2 linked regions of the Coturnix japonica genome follow. The protein of the gene in region 2 binds, or shares a complex with, the protein of the main gene of each other region. Links are inferred from orthologs where the notes say so. Each region holds a gene or a part of one and is shown on either strand. Other genes may lie near its edges.

Region 1 (3,803 bases), on a different chromosome or scaffold from region 2:
TGGAAGAGGGATGAAAGGGACGGGGCAGCAACGCCAGCCCCTCCGAGGCAGGAACCATCCACGGGTGTTGCTGGGCAGTCCCACGTGTGTGTCTCGCTGTGGGGACACGCGTGTCCCACGTCTGTGAGCGTGGCTCCCTCTGATGGCCGCCGCTGTCACCCGCAGCCAGGCACAGCCACGGATATGGCACATCCCCGTTCGCTCCTCCTGCAGCATCCCTACCTGTCATGGTTTTGTTAACCCGTGACACCTACCTCAGCTTGTCTTCATTGAGGTGGTCGATGTTCAGGGGCTTCCGCCGCTCGCTGAGGATCTTTTTCTTCTTCTCCCGCTCCGTTTGCTTCTTGCCACCCTTTTTCTCTGACTGCACAAACAATTGGAGCCCATCAGAGGGAAGGAACCTGCCCGGCCTCAGCTCCCATCCCCAGCTCTTCCTCCCAGCAGCACCCTTTGCTTTTGGGATGCCCCCAGCACGTTCCTGTCCTCTCCAGCTCATAGGAACCCCTCTCTGCAGCACCATGTGATCCTGTAGGACCTGCTTGTGGTCTAACCCCCCTGCAACTGCAACCCCATGTACAGGCTCACACCTTCTGCATGTAGCCTCCGAAATGCAGCATGTTGGAGAAAGCTTTCTTTTTCCTTGCTTCTTCCTCAGCCTTCTTCCGTGCCTCCTCTTCCTCTTTGCGAGCTCTTTCCTCCTGCCAGGGATAAGAGCGGGTCAGGAGTGGAGACCTTGTGGAGCAACGTGCACAGTTCGTGTGCCTGTGTGCCCCATGGATGGGATTGTGTGGAGTGGTGGTGGTGGGCAATGTGCTGCAGGGAGCCCCCAGCCCTGAGGGTACTCACAGCCATGCGGGCCTGGCGCTCCTTCTCCCTCTCACTGCGGATGCGCTGCTGCTCTGCCCTCTCTGCCCTCCGCTGCTCCTGCAGAGAGAGAAGACCGTGGTTGGGATGTCTCAGGACATTCCCTTTGTTCTTTGAGACCCCTAATGACCCAAAAGCCCCAGGGACAGGTTTTATGCTCCCACATCTCCATATGGAATGGCTATTACAGCAGATTCCCAACCCCTGGGCACCAAAATAGGTTCAAATCCCAATCATTCTCTGGCAGGGACATGGTATATCCTGATGTGGAGAGCATTGTGGCTGTTTGCCCACGGAGAGGATGGACTGCCCACATACAATCCTGTCTTTGAGAGAGATGAGCTCCTCTTCTTCCTTCTTCCTGCTCTCAAAATGGGCTTCAATGAGGGCCTGCAGCTCATTCAGGTCCTTCTCCATGCGCTTGCGATGGATGTCCTGTACCAGAAAGAAATGAAGATGATGGCTGTGCTCACAACACTGAAACCCTCTGAGAGCTGCTGGATGCAGCAACACCGCGATACTGCTGTTAGATGCACTCACATCGAAATCCAGGCGCTCGCCATCGGGGATTTTAGGAGGCACCAGGTTGGGCATGAAGGGCCTGAAAGGTGAGTGGGAGGTTGGGAGCAGGTTGCTGGAATGGGGCAGGGCTCCCACGCATACACTGCTCTGCCCAGCCCTCCTCTTTGAGCCCCACAGCACACAGAGATGAGTGCTTGTGGAGGACAGGGAAGAATCCCATGTTTTTCTGTCTGCTTTTCTCTCTTCACTCCATGTTTTAGTCCCTGCCCCGCTTTCATGCTTTTAGGGCTTTGCTGTCCCATGTCCCTTATGGATCTCACTGTGGCACGAAGCTACAATGAGAGCCATAGAGGAACACCTCCTAGTTCAAACCTTACAACAAAGAAAATGCACCAACACTTACTTGGGTTTGGGCTTTGATTCACCTGTGGGTCCCCAGAAACAGGAGAGAAAGGCATTGTTAGTGGCATACTTTGACCCCAAACCCCATGAAACCCAGCCACTCCTTCCTCCCAGCAGCACAGGCACATCTTCTTCCACCAAAGCAACACAGTGAGGTGTCCATCTGTGTGCCAGCATCTGAGACATGCATTGATGCTCTGGCCATTCAGGGTATGTACTGTGAAGGGACAGTGCCTCCTACCCCAAAGGGAAGCAGGGATGGATGCCTCACCTTCCCCAGGCTCCTGCTCCCGGTCCCCCTCACCACCTGTGGAATACGGGATGTGTTGGCCATGGAGGGATCATAAGGCTCCCCCAGCACTGTTTGTCCCCACCACAAAGCCCAGGATGGATACAGGGAGGGCAGGTCCCTCACCCCCAGGTGGATGGGGAGAACCCCAGGTCCTCTCCAAGGGGAGCCCATATGATCTTTGCAGGAGTTCAGGCTGGGAAGGCACCAGCGCTGCCTTCTTGTTCCATTTCCCGGGGTGAATTTCTTACCTAAGCAGCATGAATACATCCCTCCTGGAGGTCTCCTACTGCCCCTGCCCTGCTAGAGGATGGGGCCAGGGTAGCTCTGCCCCATTTACTGCAGATTGGCTCCTTTCAGCAGCAGCTGAATTCAAAATTCAGTACTGAAAACCCCATGGCATGGAGATGGTGATATAGGAGACTGAAATGACCAAAAAATGTCTTTCCTCCGCTCTTGCTTTACCTTCTCCCGGTGCTTTTGTTTCATCTTCTTGTTCTGTCTCAAAAGTAAGGGGGAAAGTGTGACCAGAGCATCCACAGGTGAGGACCACTACACGTCTCTTACACTCTGTATTGTGGCCACCAGGTGTGACAGCACTGGGACACAGACCACACACCTTCTGCTGTGGTTTCTTCTGTCTCCCCTTCCTCCTCCTCTACCTGGTCCTCCTGACCTGTGCAACAAGGACAGGGTCAGTGGAATGGCCACAGCTCCTGCTGGCTCCCTACAGACCCCCAGAATGGGACAACCATGGCACTGAGTCCAGGAGACCCAAAGGAGGGGGAGCTATGTGAGAAAGAAGCAGAAAGTAAAGGGCTTTATTCAGGCCCTTACCCAAAGGTAAGGCATGGATGAGGGGGGATAAAATCCAAGGGCTCAGATCCCCCTCCTGGTTTTGCCCCTTGTTTCCCTCCCCAGCTGTGCCCTGAGATGCCAGAGCTGAGGAGATGGACTTCTGTTGCTCTCCTCCATGCAGCAAAGAAGGAAACTGTATGGCAGAAACCTCATGCATGACACTGTTGGAGCATTTTTCCACTGGAGGGAGCAGTACCCCCACGAGAGTCCTCCGTCAGAGCCCACAGGTCCTGTGGGACAGGTGTGGTCCCACAGCAAGAGAGGAAGAAAGGAAAAGAAGAGAGCAACCCATGGGTATGTTGGGATGGAAGACAGAAATGAGAGCAGGTCGGCACAGTAGGATGGAGAGAGTGCAAAAAGCAGCAGAGAAGTGAAAGAAGGAAAGAAATCCATTTCCCAACCATGGAAAGGCACAGGACACACCGACCCACGATACATTCACAGCAGAGGTGGATAGGAAACAAAGAAAGGTGTAGTAACTACCGTCTTCTTCCTCAAGCCATTCTTCCTCTTCTGAGCCAGGGAGGAGGGAAGGGAAGAAGCGCAGAGGTTAGTCAGGTGCCTTAAAGCTGTGGGGCAGAGCTCCGGTGTGCATGAGGTGAGGACTCTGACCCTTTTAGCTCTCAGGATGTGTTGCTGTGTGGCAGCCCTGCATCAGCAGGAGCCCCAGCATACCCCAGTTCCCATGCCCACCCCGTACAGACAGGCCCCATTGCTGCAGCATGAGGTTTGGTCCTGCACCGTGCTGATGGTGGTCAGAGGTTCTGCCTGAGCATCGTTAATAAGCATTCAGCTGAAGGTCCAGTGCCTGCTGAATTATTGTGCTCACACTTCTCCACACACCCACATCCAGCACTGCCACCTCCCT
Region 2 (4,401 bases):
GGTGACAGCACAGTAATGCGGCTCAGCCAGTAAAAGCAGTGCAGCACAGTAATGCGGTGCAGCACAGTAATGCGGTGCAGCACAGTAAAGCAGTGCAGCACAGTAATGCGGTGCAGCACAGTTAATTGACGGATGCAGCACAGGAAAAGCGGTGCAAGGCACGAGCTAATTGCTCGGATGCAAGCACAGTAATGCGGTGCAGCACAGTTAAAGCGGTGCGCAGCACAGTAAAGCGAAAGTGCAGCATCAGTAATGCGGTGCAGCACAGTAATGCGGTGGCAGCACAGTAATGCGGTGCAGCACAGTAAGCGGTGCAGCACAGTAAAGCGGTGCAGCACAGTAATGCGGTGCAGCACAGTAATGCGGTGCAGCACAGTAATGCAACACGGCGCCGTGCTGAGCAGTACGGAGCCGTGCAGTGTAGTGCTAACGCAGCACTGTGCAGTGTAGTACTGAGCCGTGCAGTGCAGCGCTGTGCAGGCTACATGGGCACCAAGTTTCTGGGCGCTGGTGCTGTCAGCCGGGCTGCGGGGATGCAGCGGCCTTTGTGCCCCCGCTGTGTCACCGAAGCACTGAACAATCCCCGTCCCAAAGGTCGGCGCAGCCCGGCGGTGCCCGCAGACATTGCAGACATTGCTCCATTGCAGCCTCTGCTGCACATCATTGGGCGGGTGCACAAACCCACCGTGGCTCCGGCCGCCGCTGCCGGGTGCTCAGCGGGTTCGGCCAAATTCCGGCTCGCAGCCTGATTTCTTCAGCCGACAATGGCTTTTATTTGCGGAGTTGAAGCCCAGAGCTGCCCCCATCCGTGCGGCTGTGCTGCCAGCAACACCGAGTCCACCAGAGGGAGCGCTGCACCCCCAGGAGCGCTGCCCGCCCGCGCCGCTCCGGTGTTGGTGCATCTCCCTGCCCCGAACAGCCGCTTGTCGCTGGGGTCGAAGCGCCGCCGGCTCCGATCGTGGGCTGCTCCATCCGCGCGGGGCCGGGCCGCAACTCGCCGCTTCCAGGAGGACGGGAATCCAGCCCAGCGAGCAGCGCCTGGCAGCAACCCGGAGCCGTTCGCAGCCCCGGCCGGACCCTCAATGCTCGGGGGATGCTCCCGGTTGGATGCTCCCGGTTTGCCCCTGCCCGGTGCCGCGCGTTTCCCCCGGCTCCTCCAACTTCGTGGTCCCCGACCCCCGGGGCAGCGGTCGGGCTCCGTCTGACCTGCGTTATTCAGCGCGGCCAAGCGGCCCGTGGCGATGCGGCACGGTGCCACGCAGCCCGGGCACGCGGCGAGGCGCTGTGCGGGGCCGGGCCGTGGTGGGCTGGCGCATCCCGTCACCGGCCGCTGCCCCCTATATCAGTGGGGCCGGCGGGGCGGCGGCGGCACAGCGTGTCAGTGACGCCCCCCGGCCCTTCGCTCTCCCTGCCCAGACATGGATGACATCTATAAGGCGGCGGTGAGTGCCCGCCCGGGGCCGGGATGCTGGGGAGGAAGGGGACGAGGAGCTGCCGGCACCGGGGCCGGGTTACGGGACGCCGGCGGGCGGCTCGGCTGGAGTCGAGTCCCCTCGTCTGCGTGAACGTCCCGGCGCTGCCGTGTCCGAACACGGCGGGGTGGAAGCGGCGGCTGCCGGCTGCGGGCACATCCCGGCACGGCACCGCGTCCCACGGAGCGAACGTGATTCGCGTGGGTTACAGAATGATTGATTTGCACGGCTGAAAGGGGATTAGCGAGAGTTCAACCTCACCCTGTCGCTACCGGAGCTTTAAAATCATAAGCGCCGTTGCTTAAATCCCCCCTTCCTCAGCTGAGTGTTTTTCGATGAGACTTTTCAACTCTCTGCTTTGTGCCGTGTTTCTGCCTGGTCCCTCCGCTGCCCGCAGGAATCCGGGCTGGGACTCGGGCTCTCTGGGAATGCGGAGCATCCGGCAGCTGCGCGCAGCGCTGCCCCGCGCACCCGGAACGCTCCGGTCCATAATAAGCTCAGCGCATCATTCTGTAATTTAGACAGAGCGATATGCGGGTGTGATGGGGATGGAAATAGATTCTGTGTGAATCGCTGCTGTGTGCCCGGAGTTAAAATACACCGTAAGAACTGAAGGGTGACTCTTTTTAGTTGTTTTTAACATAGAGTTGACCGGGTTGAAAAATACGTCCTGCAATGACAACTCCAAGAGGTTCAGAGGGAATAAAGGACTTTGCTTAGTTAAACAAAATGGAGGGAAACGAGATGTTGGCAGCTCTCCCTGTTCCCTGGTCAGCCCTTATAGCTGTGACCCCTCCCGGGATCCGGACAACATGTGAGGGATGGGCTGGGAAGCGCATGACGACGTGCTGAGTGCCCCGAGGAGCATGAGGAAGGGACAAGAGTGCGCCCTGTAAGATCAGTGGAAATCCAGCCCGTATAATGAAGCTTTTTAGCTAGTTATGTTCCCTCATGGAGCAGGTCCTTGCTGTACTGTTTAGGGACTTCATGCATTAATTATGAAGAAAGCCTGGGGTGCCTTTCCACCCCAAAGTGAGCAAAAATCCACAGTGAAGGTCATCTCTAGCTGAAGCCTGTAGGTTTCAACCCGAGCCTCCTCCATCTGATAGCCCAAGCAGTGTCCTTGACCTGAGGAATAAGTTGGTGGGCTCTGACAGGGAGCTGCCAGCGCAAAAGCAAAAGGAGAAGAGGCAGAACATGGCTGTAATTGATAGCTGCTTCATGAGTCTGTTCCCGAGATTTTAACTGTAGGAAAATATCTGGCAAAATAAATAAATAAGATCTGAAACTTTTCGTGCCTGACTTCAAATGGAAATATGGGATGGAGAAAAGAGCAGAAAAAGCAAAATCCTGTGTGCTGGGTGTCTGCCTTCCCAGAGCGCAGCAGGACAAACCATTCCCAGGCTGGAGGCAGAGGAGAAAAAAGGAGAAAGCTGTGAACTGTGTCTGTGACCAGGGGCACAATAAACAGCTTGGGAAAAGCCGTGTAGTAAAAGCATCGCTGTGTGGTTCGGTTCCATCCAGCACAGCTCCACATCCATAGTGCTGTACAAAGCCAACATGCAGTAGTTAGAAAAGCCTTGGAAGTAAGGATTTGTTATTTGCTGCGTATATTGATGGCAGCAAACCTACAGGGGTATATACCAACATTATATCCATGTCGAATTCCCTCGGTGCAGCCGCAGAACCCAGTGGGCCTTTGTCTCACCCACTCATGTCTAGATAAGGGTGTGCAGGCACAAAGCTATTTCAGGAGCATTTTTCAGTTCTGTTGAGCGGTGCAGAGTGTTGCCAGGGACAAGTGTCAGAATAACAGGCTGCGGGGCCGCATACCAAAGGCCTGGGAACAATCACAGGGCTCATCTTTATCTCCGGCACCTCCCTCATCAGGGCTTATTAATAGCGAACGCTGCCAGGGGGTCAGGTTACCCAATGGACTGTGGCCATCGGCTGAGCTGCCCAAATGATGCCTGCTCAGGGCTTGGGGTTCTTCCTGCTGCTTTTGCTTCTCACCCCACAAAGGCTCCACAGGGAGCTCAGTGCTGCTCCCTTCCCAGTTCCTGCTAAGATAAAGCACTTTCCCTGCTTTCCAAGTTGTTGTTTGCCAAATCACTGCTTTTTGGGTGGAAAACCATCGGCCTCGCCTCCAAGACAGAGTACTGCTGGGCTGAGGGGTTCTGCTTCAACCCAAACACGGTGGGAGTGGGTGTGGGGGTGTCAGAGACAGCGTGGGAGGAGCATGTAATTGTAAGGGATGTTACTGAAGGGACAGGTGGATGCAGCGCTGGGGCACTGACAAAGCCCATGGCATGGCGGTGTGCTCCAAGGGGATCCGAAAGAAATTCACTCCAGGAGGTTCTGGTGGATTCCTCTTTGCTCTCCTCATCAATTGTCATTAATTGCTGCTAATTGATAAGCTCCCACCGGTGGATGGCAGGGGTAGGAGTGGGTAGATGAGCTGGGTAGGACTTGGGAGCAGTCTGCCAGCTCAACTCATCCAGCTCTGGGCGGCTGCAGGGACCATTTCTTCCAGCTGCTCCCATCTGCCTCAGTTTGCTTCCAGTTCCAGTGCCCAGGTTCAGGGAATGACGGTGACTGCAGCCTGCTGCTCCTCATGCACCATAACCTGTCTGTGGCATGTCCCCATTGCACTGAGGTGATACACTGACCAAAGAATTTACATGAATATTCAGGGTGAAGGAAAACAGGATGAGGGGAATAGAGGCAGAACCTTATAAGAGCAAATTCTGATTTTGGTAGCCAAGACCTTGATGCTTATGATTGTTTATTGAATCTGGGGCTGAAAACAACTGGGGATGGTCTTGGCCATGGCACAAAGATGTCCCTCCTCTGACCAGGTCCCAGCCTGTGAGAGAGCAGCTCTTGGAGGGTTAGCAATGAGTGGCAATGAGGAATTAAAATGGATTGC

What was found.
Region 1: the proteins of TNNC1 (region 2) and TNNT2 are in contact, whole or in part, in a crystal structure (PDB 1J1D), measured with the Homo sapiens proteins. The link is inferred for Coturnix japonica from reciprocal best matches to the Homo sapiens genes TNNC1 and TNNT2. Residues at the interface, in NP_003271.1 of Homo sapiens: Asp99, Phe101, Arg102, Asp105, Ala108, Asp109, Gly110, Tyr111, Arg147, Tyr150, Asp151; in NP_001263274.1 of Homo sapiens: Gln266, Tyr269, Asn272, Val273, Asn276, Arg277, Asp280.

Annotation. Positions count from the first base shown.
Region 1 is NC_029541.1:1,181,993-1,185,795, reverse strand, and holds part of TNNT2 (troponin T, cardiac muscle), read right to left. Parts: intron 3,449-3,803; coding exon 3,419-3,448; intron 2,754-3,418; coding exon 2,697-2,753; intron 2,576-2,696; coding exon 2,543-2,575; intron 2,096-2,542; coding exon 2,060-2,095; intron 1,812-2,059; coding exon 1,790-1,811; intron 1,466-1,789; coding exon 1,405-1,465; intron 1,300-1,404; coding exon 1,183-1,299; intron 925-1,182; coding exon 847-924; intron 699-846; coding exon 588-698; intron 365-587; coding exon 255-364; intron 1-254. UniProt on the Homo sapiens protein: Troponin T is the tropomyosin-binding subunit of troponin, the thin filament regulatory complex which confers calcium-sensitivity to striated muscle actomyosin ATPase activity.
Region 2 is NC_029527.1:240,492-244,892, reverse strand, and holds the start of TNNC1 (troponin C, slow skeletal and cardiac muscles), read left to right. Parts: upstream 1-1,336; 5' UTR 1,337-1,418; coding exon 1,419-1,442; intron 1,443-4,401. UniProt on the Homo sapiens protein: Troponin is the central regulatory protein of striated muscle contraction. Tn consists of three components: Tn-I which is the inhibitor of actomyosin ATPase, Tn-T which contains the binding site for tropomyosin and Tn-C.